Linked DNA regions of Drosophila melanogaster. The gene in region 1 interacts genetically with each later gene. Each region holds a gene or a part of one and is shown in the gene's direction. Other genes may lie near its edges.

Region 1 (5,891 bases):
TATATACAGAAATGCTCATATATAGATATAGCCAACAATCGGGCCATGAATGACCGAAGCGATGCGTACAACAAAACCGATAGCCACAGTAGTAATTAAAGGCAATAACCGAAGCGTGGCGCATCGTAGTTTTTGTTACGGGTTTCCGTTCATAGTAATGCCTTTTGTTGTTGCTGTCTTTCGGTCAGTTTCTGCGTCGTCGGCAAAAATTTTCGGTCGCTGACGTCACACCTAGGCGCCACAAAGCTCCCCCCACTACCCACTGTCATCCCCCCCTTCTCCCTCTCTCTCTCTCTCTCTCTCTCTCTCTCCGGGGTTCTATGTATCCCGTTTGTTTGTGTATTGCAACATGCGTGGGCGTTATACTCCAACTGTATCGGTGTGAGTGAGCAAGTTTGGCTGTGTGAGGTCAGTGTTGCGTGAACTTTTCGCATTGGAATGATGATGTACTAACTTTTGGCGCCCACTGTTCAATATTCCCTTTATTGCGCCTATTACGACTATCTATCTCTGCCCATTTTCACTTGCGCTAATTACGCCGTTGCATGACCACTGTACTCGGGACTGATTGGAATGCTAATTGGAATTTGCAATTTTATTTATTCCGATTGGTCATACGCCATTACTTCTAGGGCTGGGCAGGTGATAGAGATAGAGATATATATTCAGTTCAAATTATATATTAGTCATATTTAGCGATGTCTAAAATAATTACGTGAATGCCTTTCTATATGCATTCCATTGTGGCTGTCTAATATACATATAATTTTGACTTATTGAACAACTGCCAAAACATCTGATCCAATTTAAACCGTACGAAAAAATACATTTCCCTGAAGAAAGCCTAAATCCATGCACCGTTCAACAATTTGTTTACGTTGACTTTATCGTATTAAAAAAAGGCTATCGACCATTTAATCTTATCATCAAACAGCTGGAATATGCATTTACGTTTATCTGGGAACGCGGTGCAGAAATGTGTACTTTATGTTTATCTGGAACCGTTGATATATGTAGATACATTCATATGTTTCGCATTCTTGAAATTATTACTTTCCTCGTTTTGTTGCCCAGCGGACACATTTTCTTCGCATATTAAAGGTTATTTTTTCCTTGCCATCTGTTTGTTTGTTTATGTTGCTTTTGCGGGTATTTTTAGCACAAATCCCTCGCCTTTTGATCTACTTGCCATTCGGGTTCGCCAGGCAAATTCGCTGGGAGAGCTGGTGCATGAGCACGGTTCCGACTTGATGCTAATTGCTCCGCAAATATGCAAGAAATGTAAAAGAGAAAAATCGGAGAAAATCACGAACTGTGCAACTGCAACTGCAATTGGAACTGCAAGCGCTGGATGCGAAAGAAACAATAAACATTTTGATGTCTACATTTTTGCAAACAACTGATTCGAGAGCGGCAACAAATTGCCTGGAAACGGAGACGAAAAGTAAACATGCAAGAGAAAAACTATTTGCCATACAAGTCGTTGGGAAAAGGAGTGTGGCGGGGGGCACGGGGTTTGTGCGACCAATAATGGGGGAATTAATTAACATGGCCAGCGGCGGCAATTAGACCAAATAAACGAAACAGAAAGGAAATCGATCCGAGTCACAAGCCTCCAATGTTGCTGGATGTGTGTTTTTACAAAGCTGTGATCGTTTTGCCTCTTGAATCTCCGATATCACAAAGTGCACTGTGCGTAATGATTTTAATGAATTTAAGGTATAAATATGTTAGGCTTATGTAGAAAGTACAATTTGATATATATAATATAATAAATTATATATGTAAGTCTTACAATTTTTCTTTAGTTTTTACTTGGGATCGCTAATAATGCGATTAAATAAACTAAATTTCTTTTAATTAAGTTTTCCCGTGTAAATATAGGCGACCGCAGAGTGGGTTACTTTTAGCTAGGCCAAAAGCGAGACCGCAGCAGCTACTTGAATGGCCAAAATCGGCCTAATGAGTTGGGCAACACATGTTTCGATTTGACTTCCATAGCGCGACGCTGCGAAAAGGAGAACCGTCAGTCGGTGGCCAAATGTGCAACAGGTGGGCGATCGCATGCGAGCGACTGGTCTTATCGCATGCAATAAATGCACGATAAAGAGAAGAAGCCGGCTCACAAAAACACGAAGAAAATCTGAGACTGAGCTTCGCAAGCGGCGCTCTCTTTCTCTGAAACTGAAACTCGGAGGTTGATTTTGTGTTTTTTTTTCTTTCGTTTCATTTTGTGTTTTTGGTTTTATTTATCGTGACTCAGTCGCGGCGGCAACTTCGTGCATCGCTTTTCAGTTGAAAACTTGCAGGCAAGGCGCGCGGTCGCGTTTCGATTCAAAAATCGAATAGTAAATAGAGAGAATAGTAAAAGAAAAAATAAAAATAAAATCGCTTGCCACGCATGCGCAGCTCATCATCGCGTGTGTGCGAATTGGCCAATGAGTGAATCGATTGCAATTGGCTTTTTGCAATACATAATAACAATAAATTATGACGGTATGCAAAGTGGCCTTTTTTTGATAATCCGATCCGTTCAGCGAAAAGGCACAAAAGGCGAACTATCGTGATGTAATACCGCGCGAATGCGAATTGTTCATATCGCTATTGTAATAATTTAATAATTAATTATACAGGCGGGAGCTATTTTTCGGCTTCGCCTCAAGGAAGTGATTAATGCAAAACATTATCAAAGTGCGAAGAAAGTGAAACAAAAAGCGCTGAAAGATCAGCATGGCTTGAACATACGTATATACTCGAGATTTGGTGGCGCAATGACCTTTGTGTGTTTGTTGTTTGATTTTATTTGCCATGTTGGGGATGTTCGCTTAATTATGGGTTTTGGCCACATGTATCGGACATTAGTATGAATCTGTGTTTCGAGTGTGTCCATGATTAATTCAAAATTGCTCAAGGCATGCACGGTCAAAACTGAAGTTGATTTTAGGGCTTACTGGTCAAAGTCAGGCTTAGCTTTCAATTAATTATGTAGTTAGACTGCTACAATTAGTTTAAATCTGATTAGGATTTTCACAAGACCCCATATCGAATGCCGAATTAATTAATTTTAAATTAATAAAGGGCTGTTTTGGTTGCCCAATGATTTTTGCACAAGGTGGCCTTTAATTGATCTGATCACCTTTCTAAAATCATTCAAATTCAAGCTCTTCGCCAAACCATGTAATTTTTTCGTGTGCAACTAATGAAGACGATCGCGTCGCGGCTGCATATTTGATTGTTTGAAAGTCTCGAATGAAAGTGCCTTGGCAGCATGTTACTGTACTGTACACTTCCCTCCCCTCACCGATTACCACTTTTTTTTTTTTTTTTTTTTTTTTTTTTGTTTGCTTCGGGCCAACTTCAATCACAGAGTGCTAATTGTTTTCTCAGGTCTCCGTGGATTGAATTCCCCCAGTCGACAAGTTCCCATTACTGCAATTTCTTCGCTTATTCTGCCATTCTGCTCGCTCTCTAACTGCACTTTTTAATCCGATCCCAAATCGCAGATCGCAGATGCAACTGCGGCGGATCGAGCGCAGCTGATCTCGAAATTGCATGAATCACTCGGCCTAAAAGACCCTCTGCACAATCGATTTGCACGCTAATTTTGGATTTGGCGACGTGCAGACACTCGACTTTGACAAAATAAAAACTGGAAAAAAATAAAGACTGCAAATTCGAAAACATTGTAGGCTGGCGTGTCGGGGCATTTTCAATTTTCCAGCGCATTAGTCATCGCCGGTCTAATCGGCCAACAAAAAACTAAAGAAAAAAAAAAAAAACGAAGAAAAAAGCAAAACCGGAGCCTTAAACTGTAACTAGTTTTTTCCAACGCTCTCTGAGCTGAGAAACTAATCCGTCGTCCTGCATGAATCTCGCACTGAAATTTGTATCTCCAAGCTGGCTGGACCAAGTGAAAGTGGACAAAAAAAGAAATATATATGTAGAAATAGAGAAAAAAAGACTTCAAATACAACTGCAGCAGACGCGTGAAACAATTTCTCATATTTTTCTTGGCTCCCCGTACACTTCGGTTATGTGTTTTCCATCCACTTATTCAATTTGCCATTCACTGCACACAAGTGAAGACGAGCTTAACCCCCAAACTGGCCGAAGATGTGCCCCCAAACCCTCCAAAGCCCCCCAAAGACCACACTTAACACTCGAAAGCCAATGGCGCATTTCATTTCTCGGCTTTGGACTCTTTCGTTTTCTTGTAATGCGTGCCAGGCACGTTAAAGTAATTGTACAAATTAATTTATTAATTAAGCCACTGGCCGGAATGGTCAGAAACAATAGCGAATGCTAAATGCTCTTTGTCTCAAGTTAAATTGCCGATCATTTGTTTTTTTTGCTCCAAGTCAGAGCTGCCGTTTTGGTGAAAAGAGGAGGGTATTCATTCGAGAAACTTTCACTCTCCGCTTGCCAAAATTATGTATGCAACAGGTATTGCCGCAAGGTTTTAATAAAACCTATTCGAAACGCAGCTCCAAAATCCCCAACGCTCATTTCGAGGATATCCGGACCAGCAAACTTACGCATCTCGACCAGGTTCAAAAACCCGACCCATTGTCTTTAGCTCTTCTGTTTTATTTTGGCTTTTCTCCTCGCTTATTGCCCACTTTGTCTCAGTCTCAGTCAACGGTTTAGACTTTTTTGGCCTTTATTTTGATTCGACTTTGTGGCGTTGGCTTTTCATTTTGCATTTCGTCAGCGGCGACACAAACTCGTTGTGTCATACATAATTCTGTTATTGTTTTATTTAATTAGTTGCGTTGTCTTTCTTGTGCGGTGCGCTTCTTTGGGCGACCGAACGCTTTTCCCACTCCGAAAAATAGAAACACTCCATCGTGCGGAGAATTTCATTTGGCCGCCACCGTTCCTTTGTGGGTCATGATAAGCAATCACTTTCCACGTGCCCAATTCTGGCTCATTTGAATAGTTAATTGTAAGTTGACATTTACCTAGGAAAGTTCAAGAAAGTGAAGATGCAGTGAATGTTGGCAAATATTTGGGAATTCTATGATAAAGATTAAACTTAAAGCCAACTGATATCCTCTTCCCTTCTGCCCCTTTGTATATCCATAAGATGGGCAAATAATTGAATCCTGCTGCTTACAAACTAAATGGCAATATCAGTGCAGAAATATCTCTTTTCCCCGCCAACTTTCCCAACATTTGTCACCTGTCTTTAGGGGATAGACAATAGTTTTGCTTAGCTCACTGCGCAGTCGACGTCGACTGCGAGGTTCCCACGCCCAAATTATTTGCACAATATGTAGCCAGAGCTCTCCAGTGAATTCCAATTCAATTCAGGCGGCTGGTTCGTGTTTTCCCAACCCAGAGAAATAAGCCAACATGGAATGCCGAACCAGCATTTGGCCCAACCAGCATTTTTCGCTGTTTGTGGAGCACTCCAAGCCATTGTCGACTATTTCAGTGAGCCGCTGACAAACCGTTAATGTGGCGAATTGACTTGCTGAGGAAAAAGCTAGCCAAAAGCCAGTACAAAAAAAAACAAACATATAGATGGCAAAGAGTTGTTATTATTATTTAGTTATTCCTCGCAATGAAGTCAATTTCTGTACGTAGCTCGGTTTTTTTTTCATCATCTAGTTTTCAACCTTTTCCATCCAGGCCGGGCTTTTATTCCATTCCTCTTTGTTTTTTTTAGCTTGAATTTTCTCTTTAGAAATTTTCCATTTGCGCTTTTTTTTTGCTAACAATTATCTGCCCTGGTCTTTTCTATCGATTCCGCCCAGTTGTCCATTGTGGATGGAGAATCGACGTATCCACATGCTGGCCGATGGCAAATCGAAGCGCTTACAGAACCTTAATTAGTATTATTAGAAACGAAAACAATTTGCCCGGCTTTGTCCACTACGGACTGGGCA
Region 2 (7,631 bases), on another chromosome or scaffold:
TAAATACAGAAAGTGCATATATAATGCAAAAGTTTGTCTCTATGTCAAATTTTTAATTATTGAAAAGTTTTTATTATTCAACTATAAAAACTGTGTAATCATACATATATTGTTAAAAATAAATTAATTGACAATTTTACAATTAAAATTTTTTTATTTTTGGGTAAACAATTCTATATTTTCTTATTATTTCTTATTTTCAGTTAAGTATTTTTCCATTTCAAATTATTTTTAGCAAATTCTTAGAAATCATTTTTTACAAGTCCCAATTGGACCGTGTCTTAAAGGTCAAAATCCTATTAGTCATATACCGGGGTAGACTTTTTAGAACTGTAAGAATCTCACGTAGAAAGAATTAAAATTTGACTTGGGAACTCCCCAAGAAAATTTCATAGGCCAGGTGTTTAATGTAGTCACAAGTTTATCATGACAGAATGATTTTGCATTGGGCATGACGTGTGGAGATTGATTTGAACCAAGTTAATTGTCACAGCGAAGGCTACCGAATGCTTTTGCTAGATGAGTCGATTTTATTGTGTCCCTTTTTCAATTGCCTTATAAGATGGGAATTTTGCAATTATTTGAATTAGTAGGTGTACTGAAGTGTTTCTCGCGAAGCAGATGTGTGATTTTTTTGTATCTTCATCGTAAAAATCAAAACTCGTTTGCTTGCTACTTAAATCAACCAGCCTTCGTTTTGGGCTCAAAACTGACCAAGCGTTCAGATATTCAGATAGTTTTTGTTCAACCACAGACAGGTCATCATGTCTCGCGATTTTTTCGCGGTGAGTAGTCTTTTCGCATATGCAAATCAAAGTTTAAACATACCATTTTCAAATCATAATAATATTTAGCTGTTGGCAATTTTCATCTTCACTGCGGTCAACGCGGCACCGCAAATTTCACCAACTATCGTTCCGCAAATCCGCACAAATGGCTTTCAACTTGAGCCCCTCAATCAAGAATACTTTCTCAGGTAGCTAATCAAAGTCCAGAAGAGAGCTTCCCTTTACTTAGTTAGTTCTGAATCTGTAGAATCGAACATCCGGGTGGCACTATTCGCCAGGAATCCGTGAGCCAGAATGAAGCCGGACATCTGCAGGTTAAAGGTGTGATTAACCAGCCCTTCGAGGATCAGGATGCCAATCTTATTGTCACCTATGAGGCTGGTCCGAATGGATATGTTGCCAAATACAGCTTCGGCAAGGGTCCTCCAACACCGCCTCCTGACACACCATTATTCCTCAGTCCCGGTGCTCTGAAAACTGCAGCGGGATAGGATTTTGACTGAATATTTAGAAAACATTAAAACCACAACTTGCCGTAATTTATATTAAACCAATTCTGTATTTATAAGTAACAATAAGTAAGTTTATAATCACTCACTAGTTTATAGAAATCAATAAACTAGCTAGACTTTCTTAACTATAACAAATTGTTATACTTATTATTGTTAATTGGCTAAGCCCTATTAAAGCAACTTATTAGGTGACTCGGTCAATGATTCACTGTGGCAAGTTTTATTGTTATGTTATGTAAATCCCTGTTGACAGTATTCAAAAATCACATCTTATAGCTATACTATAAGCGGAGAACGATTTTTGAATGTGTTTATTAATGATTCCAGTTTTGAACTTGGTTTAAGTTTAGCTGTTTATTTGTTAGCTGTTTGCTGTCAGCTATCTAAAAACATCAGTCGCTAACCAAAAGCCAAAAGATCATCATGGCTAACCTATTGTTAAGCTCAGTGAGTTTTTCTCATAAGTTTGCCTGCCAATCGTTGTATAATATTTGCTACAGGTGTTTTTGATTCTGTTTCTAAGTCTGGTGAATTCGGCGCCCACAACTTCAGTTACCAAATTCGTGCCGCCCATAAACGATAATGGAGTTGTGCTAGTGCCATCTGAGAATAATTATTCCCTGAGGTAAACAAAAAATGAAGTTAAGATAATGCTGTAAGCTCAACCAAATGGCTTCCATATTGTAGGATTGATCTCGACGGTTCAACGCGGGATGAGATTGTTGAACAGATTGCGCCAGATGTGCTTCAAGTTAAGGGTACTTATAGCCAGCGTTTTCCTGGTTCGAAATACCTGCTGGTCACCTACAAAGCTGGTCCCGATGGATATGTGGCCAAGTATAGCATATCTAGCCAATCGGATACTGTGAACCAGATTCAACAGTTGCCACCCAATGTGTTGAAAACAGCTGCTGGATAGAGTTGTTATGATAGTTTAAATAAACATTGTATTACGCGCAATAAAACAGACAAGGTCTCTGTTGTTAAACATATATAAAATCTTATTAATGATATTTGAAAATCATTTGCCTCCGAGAGCTTTTTATAAAATATAGCATTGGTAATCGAATTTGTTACACTCTAAAACTGGAATCGATACCTTCGTCATTGAAGTGGTCACCACATGGATGAATACATTATACGAGAGCATAGTTGCTCGTATACCCACCCGCTCAACCGCAATGATGGAAACACTCGGAAGCTTTCACCTCACTTCTCACCTGCTGGTTCACTTGGGCGTGAGCGGAATTCTGATCACGCTCTCGTATCACAGTTGGTCGTATCAGGCAGCTGGGCCACATCGAAATCAGACAGTTGGCATTGTACGGCGCTATTGGCTTGTTGACTTATCAGAATCGTCGGTCGTTAAATGTGATAAGGAGCCACGATGCAGCGCTAGACTTGGAAGCACCGAAATCCACTAGATTTCAGGAGCAATGTTTCGGGATTGGCGCAAAACCAAGCACAAGCGATGGCAGAAGGTGCAGCAGAAGCAGCAGACCTCAATCCTCACCGAAAGGTTGCTCATTTCATACTCAAACTGTGTTTCCAGTGCACAAATATCTACAATGAATTGCATTAAACAACGTCAAACAAATTGAGATTGCATAAATCCAATTTGTATTTGTGTAAAGTTTTTTTTGCATACCGGTTTTGCTACAGCACTTGTTGTATCAATTCTTGAACAAGTTTTAAGATTCAGCTCACATTTTACAAGGGAAAATAGTTGAACGTAATTTCTCCAAAGCTTTTCCTTAACATTAGAAACTAAGCTAAAATATATTTCCCCGTCTCAAAGTCTCAATAACAATAACCCTTGAACTTTATTAAATTTACAGGGAGACGATGATTGTGTTTGTCTACGACACAGAGTGTCTCACAGACGAGGCGGATGATCCCATATCGGCGGTGCTCTACTTCCATCCAAGCTGGGTGTCCGACTCCCAGAAGGTGGCTCTGTGTGGTCAGCTTATGGGCACGTCGTATTTCCTCAAGGATTGCTTCTTTAATCCCCGCATCCTGGCGCTGCAGAATGGAAAATTTGTGCTGAAGGAATTCGGTCGTTTTATTCTGGTAAATCGAATCACATAATTTCACTTTTCTTTTATTAATCCGATGGAGTATTCTGTTTTCCAGGCAATTGGCACTGATCGAAATATTGGAGATCAACTGTTGGAACATCGTGCTGATCTGCTGAGTTCCCTGCTCAAGTTTTTCCACCGTGACGTCCAGACATTGTATGCCCAGTATGCTGCACCGCCCGCCCTGAACCGCCGGAATCTCAGCGAGAAACTGTACCACATCTTTGAAACATATCTGCCGATGCTGCAGCGCAACGGAAATACATTTCAAAATGTGCCGAGGCTGCGAATGCCAAAGGTGAGTGGTTAAAGTAACAAACCGAATTACCTAGATAACCAAGATTCTCTTCCAGACGGCCAGTCATATATTCCTGGAGGCTATACAAACGTTGCAAAGTTGCCAGCAGACAAAGGGAATACTTGGCGGAGCGATTCTGTACCACAACAAGTCAGTTAATCCGGCTAAAGTCTGAACAAATTGTAAATTCAAATACCTTGTCTTTTAGGGTGGTTGCCTCGCAACTGAGCGATATGGTGACCAAGCATCTTGTACTCACCGATCCTCTGCACATCCGCACTGCGGCCGAGCAAGTGACCAACCATCCTGAGTTCCACATACCCAACGGCGTTCAGATGCTGGTGGTTTATTTGGAGCATATGCAGTACCGCCAGTTAGCTGGCGAGGCACAGCGCGCCCAGAACCTGCAGATGAACACAGCTCAGCTCACCCAAAATGGTATGCCGTTTCAGTATGCCAAGCGTAAGATAAAGCGGGACAAGTCGCTCATTTTTACCCATATACCCGAGGAGGAGCACGCCCCGGAGCAGCAGGGAGCAGTTGAACAGCTACCACCAGCCAGGCCCAAATCTATGCGACCCACCCACCTGCCGTTGCGTATAAAAAGCATGCAGAGCAAAGAGCTACCGGAGTCTGGCATTGCATCAATAAATTTCGACGAAACCGATTCCTATCCGCAGTTCATTGGACGAACCAGCGTTTGCAATACTCCAATGACCGAGAACAAGGTACTGCCGGTGGCCAATGTTATGTCCATTTGCGCAAATCCCGAAGATGAGGGCAAAGAGGAGGATATTCACAATTCCAATGGCAAGACACATTCGCGTCGAAATTCTCTAAAAGTGGATGTGGAGAAATTCTTTCAAAACTTCATTAGCAATCCAAACAAACAGCTCACACGACGCAAATCATCTGCAGACCTGCAGGATGCACTTCGCGCCATCTCCAAGAAACTGAATAATTTTACGCATGGCCTCAAAACCGATGTGAATCGAAATGGAAGCGGTAATGGTGATGTCTCTTCGGATTCGCCAGATTTCATAGAGGACGATGATAAGATTACTTCGCGGACCATCAGCGATCCCACCTATCCGGTATTCAACACTAACGGCCAGCAGATCTCGCGCAGTTTGTTTCAGCAATTTCTGGATCAGTATCGTAAATTGTGGGGTGTTGCTAGTGAGCAGGCGCACGAGGATGCCGAGCTAGCCGCTCTGGTAGCCGAGTTCCAGGAGTTCAACGCCGAGATCCAAAAGCTCGACGAGCACATGAGACAGCAAGCAGCGGAAGCATCGTCTGCCGATAGGAATCTCAACGTTTCCGCAGCCAAAACTCCGCTGGACAAGCGATCCATGACGCTGCCATTGAAATCAGCAGGAGAATCTACTTTCGGAGAGCGTGCGTCCGGACGCAGTGGAGCTGGTGGAGTACCACTAACACCCCTGATGGCCAAACTATCTGTTCTGGCTCTAAGCGAAACAACGCCCATCGAGATACAAACTCCGCTGACAACCAGTAAGGTTTTCCCACGGCGAAGTTCACTGAAGTGCGAGGATGCAGTGGATGCATTGGCTGCCTTGACCACAGCCCCTGCTCAACCTCCGGGTCCAATTCAACCAGATGGCTTGCAAAGAACTGAACTCTATATATGCGGACAGCAGAATATGACCTTATTATTGCTCATGGAGGAGGGTACTTGTCAACAACAGCAGGTTGTGCAGAAGATGGTAAGTGAATTTATATTTTTTTCGTCTATAAACATTGTTAATATATCTTCCAATTAGTTCGACATTTGTGTGGCCAAGTTCCCGCACATGGAATCTCAACTGAATCAAACCTTAAATGTAAATGTGGAGGGCGACAATCGCGACGGGAGCAACTATAGCTTCATGTGCGTGGACTCCAAGTGGGATGTTCTGCAGCGGAATGGCCCTTGGAATCCCCTAGAGCTTAATATCCTCGAGAGCATGCACTCGATACATTCCAGTGGTCATCATCTTACAGATTTGATCTTGAGGTATGTTCAACAATCATAAACCTTCTTTCTTTGGTTTTATTAATATTTATATTTATAGATCCAACGACTCCGTTTATTATGGCCATAAGAATGGAAGGACCGAGTTCTTCTACAAGGAACCTACCCATCAGATCAATGGCATACCACCGCCCTCGGATCCGATTGGCAATATACAATCCCGCGCCAAGTCGCGACTGGAACGTGATCATTCCTACATGCTGTTCTAGGCTGTGCAATGGATCGTATATTATAAACATATTTAAATACTCGCATGCTTAGCCAAAAACAGATAATGTAATCGGGGACACCAGATAGTCTGGGTCCCCGAAGAATAGCCAACTTAATGCCATCCACTGTTATTTCATTTGCGATCTCTGGCTGATTCCTTCGTGAGTCTTTTCTTTTGTATAGTGGTTAGATAATGATTCCATATCATATACAATGCAAACCAAGGGAACTCAATTTTAAACGATCTAAATTTTACTTCGACTTTTATACAACAAATTTATAAGAAACATTGCCGACCTTTTTTACCGCCATTCAATGGACTCACGAAGGAAACCAAAAGAATTTTAGATATGCCGCTTACAGCCAGCGAAATATTAAGCCTTGTTTGAATTTTCACTTGATTGATGTAAAGTACAAAAATGTTTTAAGCTTTGTTTACAATGTCCAGCACTGTTGTTTAATTTATAAGCTTGTATCCTATACAATTATTTTAATCATTTTGCATTTGCTTTGACCGAAAAGATGCGACATTTTGCACTGATTTCGAGAGCCAAAGAATTTAAATCAAGGTTTTTAATTGTAAATATACATTATACAAAATTAGATTCATTTAAATGGAATAATGTGTAACTAACCTAAAATTCACACAGATTCCGTTCTGTCCAGTTGCAAACATAAACCTATCTTAGCTGTTTCTCATTATCAAAGATTAAGCGCTTTGTGCCAATTTAAATGCAGGATAAATGCTTAAAATAAACCGTCAAATATGTAGGAACGTGAGAACGAATGTTTTTAACCATACAAAACAATTTGAACAGTGCAATAGTGTGGAAAACAACTATTTTGAGAGTTTTGCGTTGACCTAGCTTAAATATACATACATAAATACCTAAACAACATTATTTATATATATATATATAAATATTCATATATGATACAAAGACCGGTATTGTTTTTGTAGATTTTCAAGAATAAACCGAAAGCCATCGTCGGTGGTTGAGAAATACTTTCGAGTTGAACTTCCTTTAACATTAGATCTAGAGACTAGGGCATTTTCATCACAATCCAAGGAACTCGACCGTAATACTTGTAGTAGTAGTAATCGTAGGCAAGCTTGCCCAGGATAAGAAATATGAGGCTGGCCAGCACCCCGTTTAGCCAATCGATGGGATGGATCTGAGTGCCGCCCTCCACGCTTAAATTGCACATCTCCTGGCGACTGAGGGTCAGCACCTTGGCCAGCAGCTGGTCGTCATCCAGGCGGTAGGTGCAGCTCACATTCCAGGCATCACGCACGATGTCCTTGTACTTCGTCAACAGCTCACGCATTCTGCTGCCAAACTTGCAGGTGCAGTGCCAGGGATTTCGACTTAGCAATAGCAGATTGGCATTCTCGTTGTCATCCAGAGCGTTGTCCAGGGCGTAGACATGAAGCTTGCGCAGATTGTTGCCACGCAGATTGAGCAAGCGGAAGTTCTGCAGCCAGTAAGTGTCCTCCAAGTTGTCCACATTGGATATCTGATTGTTCTCCAGCTGCATATCCACAACGTGGCGGTAGTGGGGATTGTCCCGCAGCGGATTTATGTCACTGATCTGATGACAAATCAAGTAAGTTACTTTTCATTGAGCTTTAATATGCTCATATTAAATATGCTCTTACCATATTATCGTTTATAACTAAAGTGGTGGTGTTGTCCGGCAAAAAGT
Region 3 (5,935 bases), on another chromosome or scaffold:
AGAATGCCGAATATGATTTCGGATTTGCTTTCTAACTCTCTTGCGATTTTATTCTTCGCTTTGCACTTCGCAGCTTTGTGACCACTACCTCCACAATTCCAGTATGTAACTATTCTTTTACTATTACTATTACTATTTTACCGTTTTTTACTTGCTTGTGTTCTTTTTGTCCGTTTCTTTTATTATCGATCTTCTCATTCTCGTTCGCGGACCGAATTCCAATAACCGTTTGCTCACATTTTTCTACTTGATCTGTTACTTTTCGCCATTGTCCTTCTTGCAATTTAATTTTTAGAATTCTTAGTAATGGAAACTCATCTCGTGTTTCTGGAGCAATCACGAAGCCTTCAAACGATTGATGCAAACTTGACAATAATAAAACACTTAGGATTTCTTCTTGAACTAGAAAACCCACTTCTTTTAATTTTTGCACAATGTCATAAAATTTGTTCATATGTGCCCCCACTGTGCCCGTTTCACACATTTAAATTTTGTAACACGAAGCAAATACTACGCGCCGGTCCCGTAGGTGTATGTATTTCACGCAATTTTTGACATTCTTCTTTAGCGGTTTCACAATGCTTTATGTGGTTGACTTGCTATGTATACACAATATTATACTGTCAATGGCTTTTTTGTCTTTTTCGTCAAATAAAGCCTTTTTCTCGGGACTATCGTTTTCTTCTTTGACGAGTCGACCCCATGTGACTTTCCATAAGTCCGAATGTACTAACACACTTTTCATCTGCACAGCCTACGCACTGTAACTATCATTATCCTATTTGTCTATGTATTGACGAACTCATTTTGCCAATCACCAATTTCCACGATGACAATATCAAAAAGTGAACATGGATTAGTGTTTAACATTACAAAATTTCAAATCGGCTCGAATTGTAATGGTGTACCGATTCTTACATATGTATAAGTAATTACAAACATAAATATAAATATGTTAATGAAACCTTATTTTAGCGGCTAATTTATCAAATATTAAATAAAAATATTAAAATAATTGTCAGGGCATACATTTTTAAATAATATTAGATTAGATCATATAAAAAGAAAATTGGCTCTAAGCATACGAATTCGTTTCTTAGGTATAGATTGATTTCGTCTAAAAATAGCACACAGCATACACACTTTTAGTTATTGTTGTTACTCACACAAGCGGGCGCATACCATTCCTAGATTTGTACGCTCTACAGCCGTCACCAAACAAGTCGCTGGAATATTGCATAACCAATGTAAGGCCGTTACGCATCTTGTTATTCTAATGTTTTTGACACAACTAAATAAATTACATATAATTATAAATTGTTTAAATAAATATTTTTCTTTGTTATACAAATACTCCTTAGGGTTAACAGGACTAAGGTTTTTGGAAATCAGATGAAAAGAAATTTAATTATTATACATAATATACATAAAATTAGGTAAAGTAATAAGTATTAGTATTATTTTATAACAAAACAGATCTTTTACTAAGGGAATAACATAGTTAACTTAGTGGTCTATTGATGTTTATTCCACATCAGCACAAGATCATTCTGCTACTGAGTTATTTTATAAAAAATAAATAAATAATTTTTATATAAAATATTAATTAATTTAAAAGACGACCAAAAGTGTTATTCGTAAATAGTGGTATTTCAGTTAGTTACTTAATTGGATAAAGTGCTGTGAAAAGTAATTGCGTAAATCAGAATTAAAACTCTACTTGTCTGGAAAACAGCTTAAACGTCTATTTACTGTTGAATGCATTTCTGCTTCTCCTGGCTTCAAAACAAGCAATTGCAAATATAAAAGGCCTTTTTCACGTTATTTGCTTTAGACAAACAAAATAAGTCAGCAGAAAGAAACAAAACATTCCCAATAGCAATCATTTTGCGAAAACCAGAGCACCCAAAACGAAATCGAAAGATTTTGCCAAAATCGAAATCGAAAACAAATTACGATTACCCGAGCATAACCGATTGTAATTAGGATATTTTTTCACATAAAGTATTCGATTGCGCTTACATTATCGAACCACTTAATAATGAACTAGTTCTTTTGTCACAAGCATTACAGAATTTCCTTTTTTGTGTATGATGTTGTACTAAATGCTTTAATATCTGGAAAATCGGATTTCAATTTTTTGTGAATATGTAGTTTTACATATGGACATCTATGGAAGCGCGATCTCTCAAACACAGCCTAATCGGGTATGTGGTATTAATTTAAACATACATATGTTGGAATTCGCATATAAAAAGGGCAAAGAGAGTGTTAATTAAATTACACGAATTCTTGTTTTCATCAAATCAAATTAAATAAGGAATGAAATTAAATCAAATTAAATCAAATGAAAAAAAATTAATTTAATTTTTTTAGTGATAGTTTGTGTAACATAATAAAACAAGAAAAATCGATAATTTAATTCGAGCTAATCAATCACTGTATGAAAAAAAGGAAGGAACTTATGTGTGTATACATGACATATAAAATGATACGCATGCAAAAATGCTTTAACAATAATATTTTCATTGTTATCAGGGCTTCTCAATGTACAAATTTATATACCTGTCTCCTATGAGTACATAGCTGTAAGGGAGTGGCTAGGTATTAAAGTGGCTTACAGTTTCGCTCATAATTCAGAAAGAATTACAATAATTTTCCCATGATTTATTTGAAAAAATATCACAATATAATTTTTTGTCTATCCATCCATGCCTTCCGTTTAAAGAATATTTAATAAAATTGTGTATATTATAAACACATATATTATTATGTATATTATGTATACATACTATTATTTTACCATCACTTTTACCATCCAATGAAAATTTGAGTTTTTATTAAAGCCCCCTCCCCTTGTTTGTCGTAAAGGATTCCTTGTTCGGGGGAAATTTGTATGCTATCCGCGATGGTTTGAGGCAGAAGACAAATTTGTCAGAGAACAAGTGATTCGTTCTCAATCATCCCATTTTCTCCTGAACTATTTTATGCGCTATTGTTGTACAACTATGATAGGACAACTACAGCAATTATTCCCAATGCTAATGACATTACATTACATTATATATTATATTTTATATTATAATATATTCATTTCATTCATATTCATATCATTTCATATTTTATATTCTTCATATCCGTTTAGCGGTTTTTTGACTCATTTCACAAACGAAACATCAACTATAGTTCATCACTATTTATTACCAAAAATTTTAAAAATATGTAACCTGTTTATTGCAAAATTGATTTTTTGAGGCACGACGTGCGGAAATAGGCACCTAAGAATCATTGTCTTCTAAAACTTTTCACAAGTCGCAAGCTGAATACTCTAATAACAATTAATCCAACAGTCATTTTACCCTTTACTCGTAGAGTAAAAGGGTATACTAGATTCGTTGAAAGGTATGTATGTAACAGGCAGAAGGAATCGTTTCCGACTATATAAAGTATATATATTCTTGATCAAGATCTGTCCGTATGAACGTCGAGATCTCAGGAACTATAAAAGCTAGAAGGTTGAGATTCAGCATACAGATTCTAGAGACACAGACGCAGCCCAAGTTTGTTGACCCACGCCCACTCTAACGCCCACAAACAGCACAAAACTGTAAAATGTGAAAAAGGTGCAAAATGACGCCGAAGAGAATATAGCTGACGAATACAGGGTAGTGCGTCACTTAGCGTTCCGCTAATCTACATAAGTGCGCTAAACGAAAAGAGCCAAGCAACATCGAAAGCACCGGCGCACAAGCGAAAGCGAAAACGAAAAGTTCACCGCTGCTGGTATATAAGGCTGTAAGCATTAGTGCATTAGCTTCGATTAACCTCCGAGTCGATCTAGCCATGTCCGTCTGTCCGTATGAACGTCGAGATCTCAGGAATTATTAAAGCTAATGGAAGTAAAGGTTGAAATTTAGAATACAGATTCTTGAGACAACCGCCAACACACCGCACAAAACTAAAAAGCCCACACTTTGGAAAATTTTCTTCATATTTTTTAACATTTCTATTAGTCTTGTAAATTTCTATCGATTTGCAAAAAAAAAAATTTTGCCACGCCCACGCTAACGACCTTAAACTCCCAAACTGCCACGCCAACATTTTTGAACCATTTTCGATTTTTTTATAGTTTTATTAGTCTTGTAAATTTCTATCTACTTGCCAAAAACTTTTCGCCAAGCCCACTCTAGCGCCCTAACCGGTCACGCCCACACTTTGGAACAATTTTTAAATTTTTTTCTCATTTTGTTCCCCAATATCTATCGATATTCCAGAAAAATTATGAAATTTCGCGTTCGCATTCACACTAGCTAAGTAACGAGTATCTGATAGTCGGGTAACTCGACTATAGTATTCTCTATTTTTTAAATTTATTATGTATTATTCTATTCTAAGCTATACTTGAATAATTGTCAGTTCAGGCAATGCAAAACTTGAGTTTTAAAAAGTATAGGAACTTGTAAAGTGAAGGGCATATTTAGTGAAATTTACAATGCATGAGGATACGTGTGCATACATATATCTTAGGAGCTTCATTTTCGTGTCCTGCCAATACAAGGCATCGTTAATTAAATCAATTCTGGTGCGACTGCGCTAATTACATATGGATCGTTCGTTAAAGTTCCTCATTGGGTAAGTTGGAAGAAGGTTAGAATTACCCGGATTGTGAAGTGCCTTCCTTAAATAATTATTTATAATACTATGATACGAATTTAAAATCGGATGGCAATAACTTATGTTTATTTTTGGACTTAGAAATTAGTAAGACCAAAATAAAATAAAGAAATCCAATCAAGTTTTCAAAGTAAGGGTTTTACGAATAATCTTGCACAGGGAAGTCTTCGCCAGAATCTGCATGCTTAGTATCAACTATCTAGCTTTAATAGTTCCCGAGATCTCAGACGTCATACCAAAGACATTAGAATAAAAAGATAAGTAATGGCCATACATTTATCAAAATCAATTTTGATGTAAGAATCGAAGGTACATTTTTAGAGTTTGTCAATTTCGTTGCAAAATTATCTACTAAAAAATTATATATAAAATTTAATTTCCTTTTAACTAATTTATTATCGTTTCATATTTTTATTCATGCTTCTAATTAATAATCGGGCATGCTCCGTTAATCGAATTCGTAAGGATTTTACAATTTCCATTTGAAATAGAAAAATCGATGCTTCGTTTTTCAAAATCGTAAAATTTTTTCGATTCGTAAAACGGACACTTTTGGTCTGGCCGAAATAATGACCTTTTTATATTAAATCAGATCTTATTTACAAAGGTGAAAAAATTATTTACAAATTATTTAAAGCATACATTTTCCAAATAAATAAAACACTTTTAAAAAATTTTTTTCAAACTGATTATATAAGCATACATTGTTTAAAATAAATATATATATATTTCTTATATATATATATATAAAATAAATATAAAAATACAACCAGTTTTTTTTTTAATTGACTTCTTGACTTTTTTTGACTTTTTGACATAAGCACCTTAAAATAGTTGTCTTTCTCTCATTTTTCACACGAGGCCAACTTAATACTCGAATTTCAATTAATCCAATACAAAGTCATTTATGAAATTTATTATGTGATATTATGCTCATAGATTCTGCTATTACAATTTCTATTCGAATTATCATGCTAAGGCAGTGCAAACCAAGAATTTTTTACATGGTGTCAATTGATCAAAAATAATATAAATGTAAAGCCTAAGAACCAGTAAAGTGAAGCATATTTTGTCAATGTGGTCGGCTGTCCGTGTATGCGTATAAGGGAGCTGCTGACTGTAGACCTGTCCGCTCTTTGGTTTTGGTTCTTGAACAAAAATTTGAGAGAGCCGGGAGCCAGATCTGGAGACAGCTCAATAAATTATTGCTATTCATATTGTAAGTACTGGTACCCTTTTTGTTTTGAACTCCGAACCAATC
Region 4 (5,395 bases), on another chromosome or scaffold:
TCTAACACGATGGATCGAAGGAAGTACAAATTATATTTAATGTGTGTATTTTGATTGTTTTATTTGAACTCACGCTTTGGTTTTCCCATTCAAATTGCGTTCGTATTGCGTATAAGTCACACTTGAAAACTACAAAAACTTTTGGAACAATGACGAGTACAAAATTTCAGGAAAAACAAACGAAATTTAGCAGATAAATTAAAATTAATTAAATATATATAGAGGCGAGGTAACGATAAAGAGGAAATCGTACAAATTTTTCGGCATAAATATAAAGTTAAAATTTTAAGCAAGGCTGTCGGTCAAAAAAAAAAACGAACAGTTGGTGTGACTTTTTAGGATTGAAGTTAAGTTTCCACACAGATTACGCCCCTTTGATTTCCTTTATTTGGACCAATTATTTTTGAAACCAGAATGAATGCAACAGAACTTGAGTTACACATGAACTATTCGATTTACTTTGTTCTGAACTGAAAAGTTTTCGAATTACCCAAACGAAATTTTAACCACTTGAATTCAAAAAAGACGACAACGGTCCACTTGCGAGGGAATTTCGGAATGAGAAGTACTTTACGTGCATAAGGTTAAACGAAAAACAAAAAAAAAAATAGTTTTAAAAAAACGCAAATCCGTTTGGAGCAAACTCAGGGCATTATCAAGACTCACGACGATGTATACATGCATTTAATACAAACAAAAAAAAAAAATAAATAATGAGAAGAAAAACAGAAACTTTTTCGATATGTATTACGATAAAAAAAAAAAAAATTATGAAAGCAACCGCAAAACGGATGTAATAATCATGCGAAACGATTATGAACAACTCAGGTATTAAATATTAAATGAAATATTTTTAAAAACTTATAACGAATCGAGCGGGCAGTCGGTCAGAAGTCAGAATCAGCATTTTCACAAGTTGTGCAATATTCTTAAAGTTTTCTAAATACGTAATAGTATTAATAATCTAATATGCGATCATGGCAAGGATCAGTGAGTTGAGATGTTCATAAGCATGGGATCCGAAAGGTTGAAGATCGAGGATCGATGATTGAAGATTGAGGATTGAGAGAAGGTTAGGTGAGTTTTTGAAGCACATGAGGACTAGGCGTGTAGTAAACCAGCCCTAAGAATTTTTAGTTTTACCACCCACACAAGTCAAGAAGAACAAGCCACAACAAACACACTCACAGAAACACACACACACACATACTCGACGCGAAATGCGAAAATAGTGAAATAAATAGCTAAATGAAAATGAGTTTATATAAAGAAGGAAAACATAAAACTGTGATTACATTTGATTGTCGAAGAAGCGTTGATAAGCAAGTGTTGCATAATTATTGAGCGAAAGAAAAACGATGAAACGAGAAATACGATTGAAAATGGAGTTATGTACTATTATTGAATCTGAAACCGCTTTTGATTTCGAATATTGGCACAGTGTCTAGCATGCGACAGAGCATAAGTAAATAAATCAATATTAATTAGCCGAAATATTAAACTTCAAAAGAACGACTAAGAAATACAAATTATAATTATCTAAGTTATTCGAGATTAGTGAAACCTGCCCTAATTTTACAAGTCACCTGTAACAGTTTTTATCCTGGCTAAAAATCCAGAGCTGCGAAAAAAAATCCCTCGATTTAGTTCACATTTCTCTGAACGATTTCTGTATGTAGTGCACCTTAGTTAAAAATTAAAGTCTGAGATTTTACATTTATCGTATATGGTCGAAGTATACACCTAAAGAGCGCACTTGAAGCGCGAGTCTAAGCCCAAAGCGGTTAATTAAGTTTATTGAACCTACTACTACTAACGAGGCAAAATCCCACACGCTACGTATTTGGCTAAAATTAATGTAAAAATCAAGAAATCCAAGGATCGATTCAGAAGGATACGTTTTCGGAGCACGCATATGATTTCTAAATAAGTATGTATGTATGTCTGAAGAGTGCGAAAGCGAAGCAGCTTAAATATATTTTAAACACGAACTCGGATAAAAATTTACGATTATGCCATACATTTTTGTGTAACATATTAAAAACTACGAGTAAGCTAAACCCACAGTCACACACAAACCAAACGCATTGTAACAGAAACTCACAAAACACGGAGAGGAAATGGGCAACCAGAATGGAATTAAGCATAAAAGTATATGAACGAAAACTAAATTCAATAAACTTGTTGCTAAAATATAATAAAAGTAAGACCATGGTTTTATTTCGGGCGGATTGAGTGCCAGAGTTTATTTTTATAAAGTGTACTGCAAATTATTGCCTTTTGTAAGTAAGTAACTGCCATTCGTTATGTTAATTTTCAAATATTTCCGCTAGATAGTTAGCGGGTAAGAAATCGATATACCAAATCGAGCGAGCAATCGATGCTCCACCAAAATGAACGATATCGCATAATAATCGGGCTGTGTTCCAGCTCTAGCACACCATAGCAAAAATAAAAAATCCTAATAATAAGGAAAAAGAGTCAATTTAGTGCAATCACTTGCAATATAAGCCCGAAATCCTAGCTAGAGTTTAAGATCGGCCCTGCTCAGCGAACGCAGGCCCCTAACATAAACAGTGTAAAACTATCGAAACAAGGGAAAGCAGAAAGTACCAAAATGGTGAGTAATACTACAATAGTAACAAGAAAAAAAAGCAGGCCAACAAACGGTGTTTTTGGTCGGAACCGCCCATTCTGCAAGCCAAATATTCTTGGCAATCACCTAATCCACCGAGAAAACCTCCAGAGGGGCGGCGGCCTGTGGCCTCAAATAATGCCCATATATGGTAATCCCTGGTTTGCCGGGTGGCAGTGGAAAGCGGAGGGATTTTTTGGGCTCTCTTATCGGCGGTGGTGCAGTGACTCAAATTCAATTTCACTGGTGTCTCTTCTCCTCTCTTCTCAGTCGGAAATGCAGATGGACTGTGCTTTGGATCTGATGCGGAGGCTGCCGCCCCAGCAGATCGAGAAGAACCTTATTGATCTGATAGACTTGGCACCGGATCTCTGCGAGGACTTGCTCTCCTCCGTGGACCAGCCGCTGAAGATCGCCAAGGACAAGGAGCACGGCAAGGACTATCTGCTGTGCGACTATAACCGGGATGGGGACTCCTACAGATCGCCCTGGTCGAACTCCTACTATCCGCCGCTGGAGGATGGCCAAATGCCCTCGGAACGACTGCGCAAACTGGAAATCGAGGCGAACTATGCCTTCGATCAGTACAGGGAGATGTACTACGAGGGAGGCGTCTCCTCCGTCTACCTATGGGATCTGGATCACGGGTTTGCCGCCGTTATACTGATCAAAAAGGCGGGAGATGGCAGCAAGATGATCCGCGGCTGCTGGGACTCCATCCATGTGGTCGAGGTACAGGAGAAGACCACCGGCAGGACGGCCCACTACAAGCTCACCTCCACGGCAATGCTCTGGCTGCAGACCAACAAACAGGGTTCGGGAACCATGAATCTGGGCGGATCCCTCACCCGGCAGCAGGAGCAGGACGCCAACGTCAGCGAGTCGTCGCCGCACATCGCCAACATTGGCAAGATGGTCGAGGAGATGGAGAACAAGATCAGGAACACCCTGAACGAGATCTACTTTGGCAAGACCAAGGACATCGTGAACGGACTAAGGAGCACACAATCACTGGCCGATCAGCGCCAGCAGGCGGCCATGAAGCAGGACCTCGCAGCGGCAATCCTGCGACGCAATGTCAAGCCCGAATCGAACTGAGTACTGAGCGGCTGAAGGCTGAATTTCCACATAAACCAATCCAGTCCAGGGGCGTCCCACAAGCTGGCTGCTCCCAAGAAGAGCGCAGCAATATTCGAATTGCAAGGCACTGTTGTCACCACTAAATATTGTCATAAATATAAATAATTTTCATAATATTTCGGCTGCACCCACCCAATTCGCTGTTACTCGCCCAATTGTGTTGAGCAGCTCCGTGGAGGACTCCGCTTGGACTGGACTAAAGAGCTGACTAAAAAATATTAAATACGCATTTCTAGGCAGTAAATTTGTTACATGAGAAAATTGTTACACCACGAGAAGCACATTAATGTAAATTTTGCCCGCCCGTTTCAACTGTCCTCCCACATTGTTGCCGTTTGGAGTCGCGCTTCATCCAGAGTTCAGCCGAAAATGCCAACTTCGCCGCCCTCAAGACAGTATCCATAAGTATTTGTATCTTATTTGTAATAATGCATATTTGCACCGAAGTCGAGGCACTTGCGTTTCGTTCTTAATCCTTCCGCGAATAAATATTGTGTTTATTAATTGTAACTTTGTGTTTGTGTGTAATCTAACAGTAAGGCGCTCGAAGCAAAATATTAACTGAAATCGCTTTGTGATTGTATTATCTGAGGAAATGCACATTACCTTTCTTCTTTACTTAATATTTTTTAACTGAAATTTGGAAGGCAAGAGAAATTTTATACAAAGAAACTAATAAATATTGAATTACAACTAGAAGTGGTTTCATTGGGGGAAAACATCATATTATCGCAAAAGATAAGATATATAAAATAAACTACTACACATCACTCCATCGATGTATACCATATTCTACTTTTAGTCACGACATATCATATCATAAGCTAGTTAGATAAGGACTAAAGAAAAACATGGCGAGTTTGGTTCATGGCTACCTTTAAGATACGTTTGCATTTATTTATGAAAATCGGAGACCGTTTGATTAAAAATATGTAATTAAATACCTTGAGGTGTGTGACGCAAACGATTGTGTGCTTACTTAGACAATTACTTTTAATCTTTGCATAGTCGCGTTTTATCATAGTTATTACAGAATATACTCGTAGATTTATATAGATCGTTTCGTCTTGTGTTACCAGCTATATACATACAATGAGGCGACCACCAACAGCTCACTCATACACCTTTGCGAGTGTAGTTAGGGGCAGCAGCACAAGAATTCAAGTCGAAGTTTTTAAATTAAGTTCTCGGATCGTCGCATAGGTATCTACAACTTAGGCTAGGTATTATGAATAAGTTAGGTTTATTTAGAGGGGGGGAGGACGTGCGCGTAGAAGGAACTACGATTACATACATTATTTTACACGGGCTCAGAAGGCGTGGCCGGACAGACGGTTCTCGAAATTGGAAGATCAGTGTCAGCGCAGCGCAGCAATAAGGGGTTTTCCTCCTCAATGGCGGATAGAACTAAAAAATACATAGCTGCTGGCGGGAGACACGGTTGCGTGAAAATGTGCAAAAATATGCGTAAAAAGTCTCTTCGGTCCAGCGAAAGTCACAGCTTATTGCATTTTCGACACCTCGAACTTGGTGTTGATGATTTCCTCATCGGAGTCCAGGATGGGCAACGCCGAGTCCGCCATCGAAGACGGTATGTTCTCCTCCACCCAGCGCAGGTCG

Evidence for each region.
Region 2: of Csk (region 1) and HPS4, changing one enhances a phenotype caused by changing the other (phenotypic enhancement), as found in Drosophila melanogaster (one study listed by BioGRID).
Region 3: of Csk (region 1) and p120ctn, changing one suppresses a phenotype caused by changing the other (phenotypic suppression), as found in Drosophila melanogaster (one study listed by BioGRID).
Region 4: of Csk (region 1) and cpb, changing one enhances a phenotype caused by changing the other (phenotypic enhancement), as found in Drosophila melanogaster (one study listed by BioGRID).

Annotation. Positions count from the first base shown.
Region 1 is NT_033777.3:11,643,393-11,649,283, reverse strand, and holds the start of Csk (C-terminal Src kinase), read left to right. Parts: upstream 1-2,307; 5' UTR 2,308-2,438; coding exon of another isoform or gene 2,439-2,496; 5' UTR 2,497-2,568; intron 2,569-5,891.
Region 2 is NT_033778.4:17,684,120-17,691,750, forward strand, and holds HPS4 (Hermansky-Pudlak syndrome 4), read left to right. Parts: upstream 1-2,571; 5' UTR 2,572-2,736; coding exon 2,737-2,819; intron 2,820-3,138; coding exon 3,139-3,373; intron 3,374-3,436; coding exon 3,437-3,679; intron 3,680-3,734; coding exon 3,735-3,829; intron 3,830-3,887; coding exon 3,888-5,406; intron 5,407-5,463; coding exon 5,464-5,696; intron 5,697-5,754; coding exon 5,755-5,923; 3' UTR 5,924-6,703; downstream 6,704-7,631. Other genes in the region: CG42561 (uncharacterized protein), read left to right, coding at 765-785, 855-976, 1,036-1,279; CG42562 (uncharacterized protein), read left to right, coding at 1,724-1,747, 1,801-1,925, 1,988-2,219; swi2, read right to left, coding at 6,969-7,517, 7,585-7,631.
Region 3 is NT_033778.4:4,593,256-4,599,190, forward strand, and holds the start of p120ctn (p120 catenin), read left to right. Parts: upstream 1-2,032; 5' UTR 2,033-2,172; coding exon 2,173-2,207; intron 2,208-5,935.
Region 4 is NT_033779.5:1,702,495-1,707,889, forward strand, and holds cpb (capping protein beta), read left to right. Parts: upstream 1-2,407; 5' UTR 2,408-2,617; coding exon 2,618-2,620; intron 2,621-2,636; exon of another isoform or gene 2,637-2,783; coding exon of another isoform or gene 2,784-2,786; intron 2,787-2,905; coding exon 2,906-3,733; 3' UTR 3,734-4,283; downstream 4,284-5,395. Other genes in the region: CG17660 (uncharacterized protein), read right to left, coding at 5,278-5,395. UniProt on the Drosophila melanogaster protein: F-actin-capping proteins bind in a Ca(2+)-independent manner to the fast growing ends of actin filaments (barbed end) thereby blocking the exchange of subunits at these ends.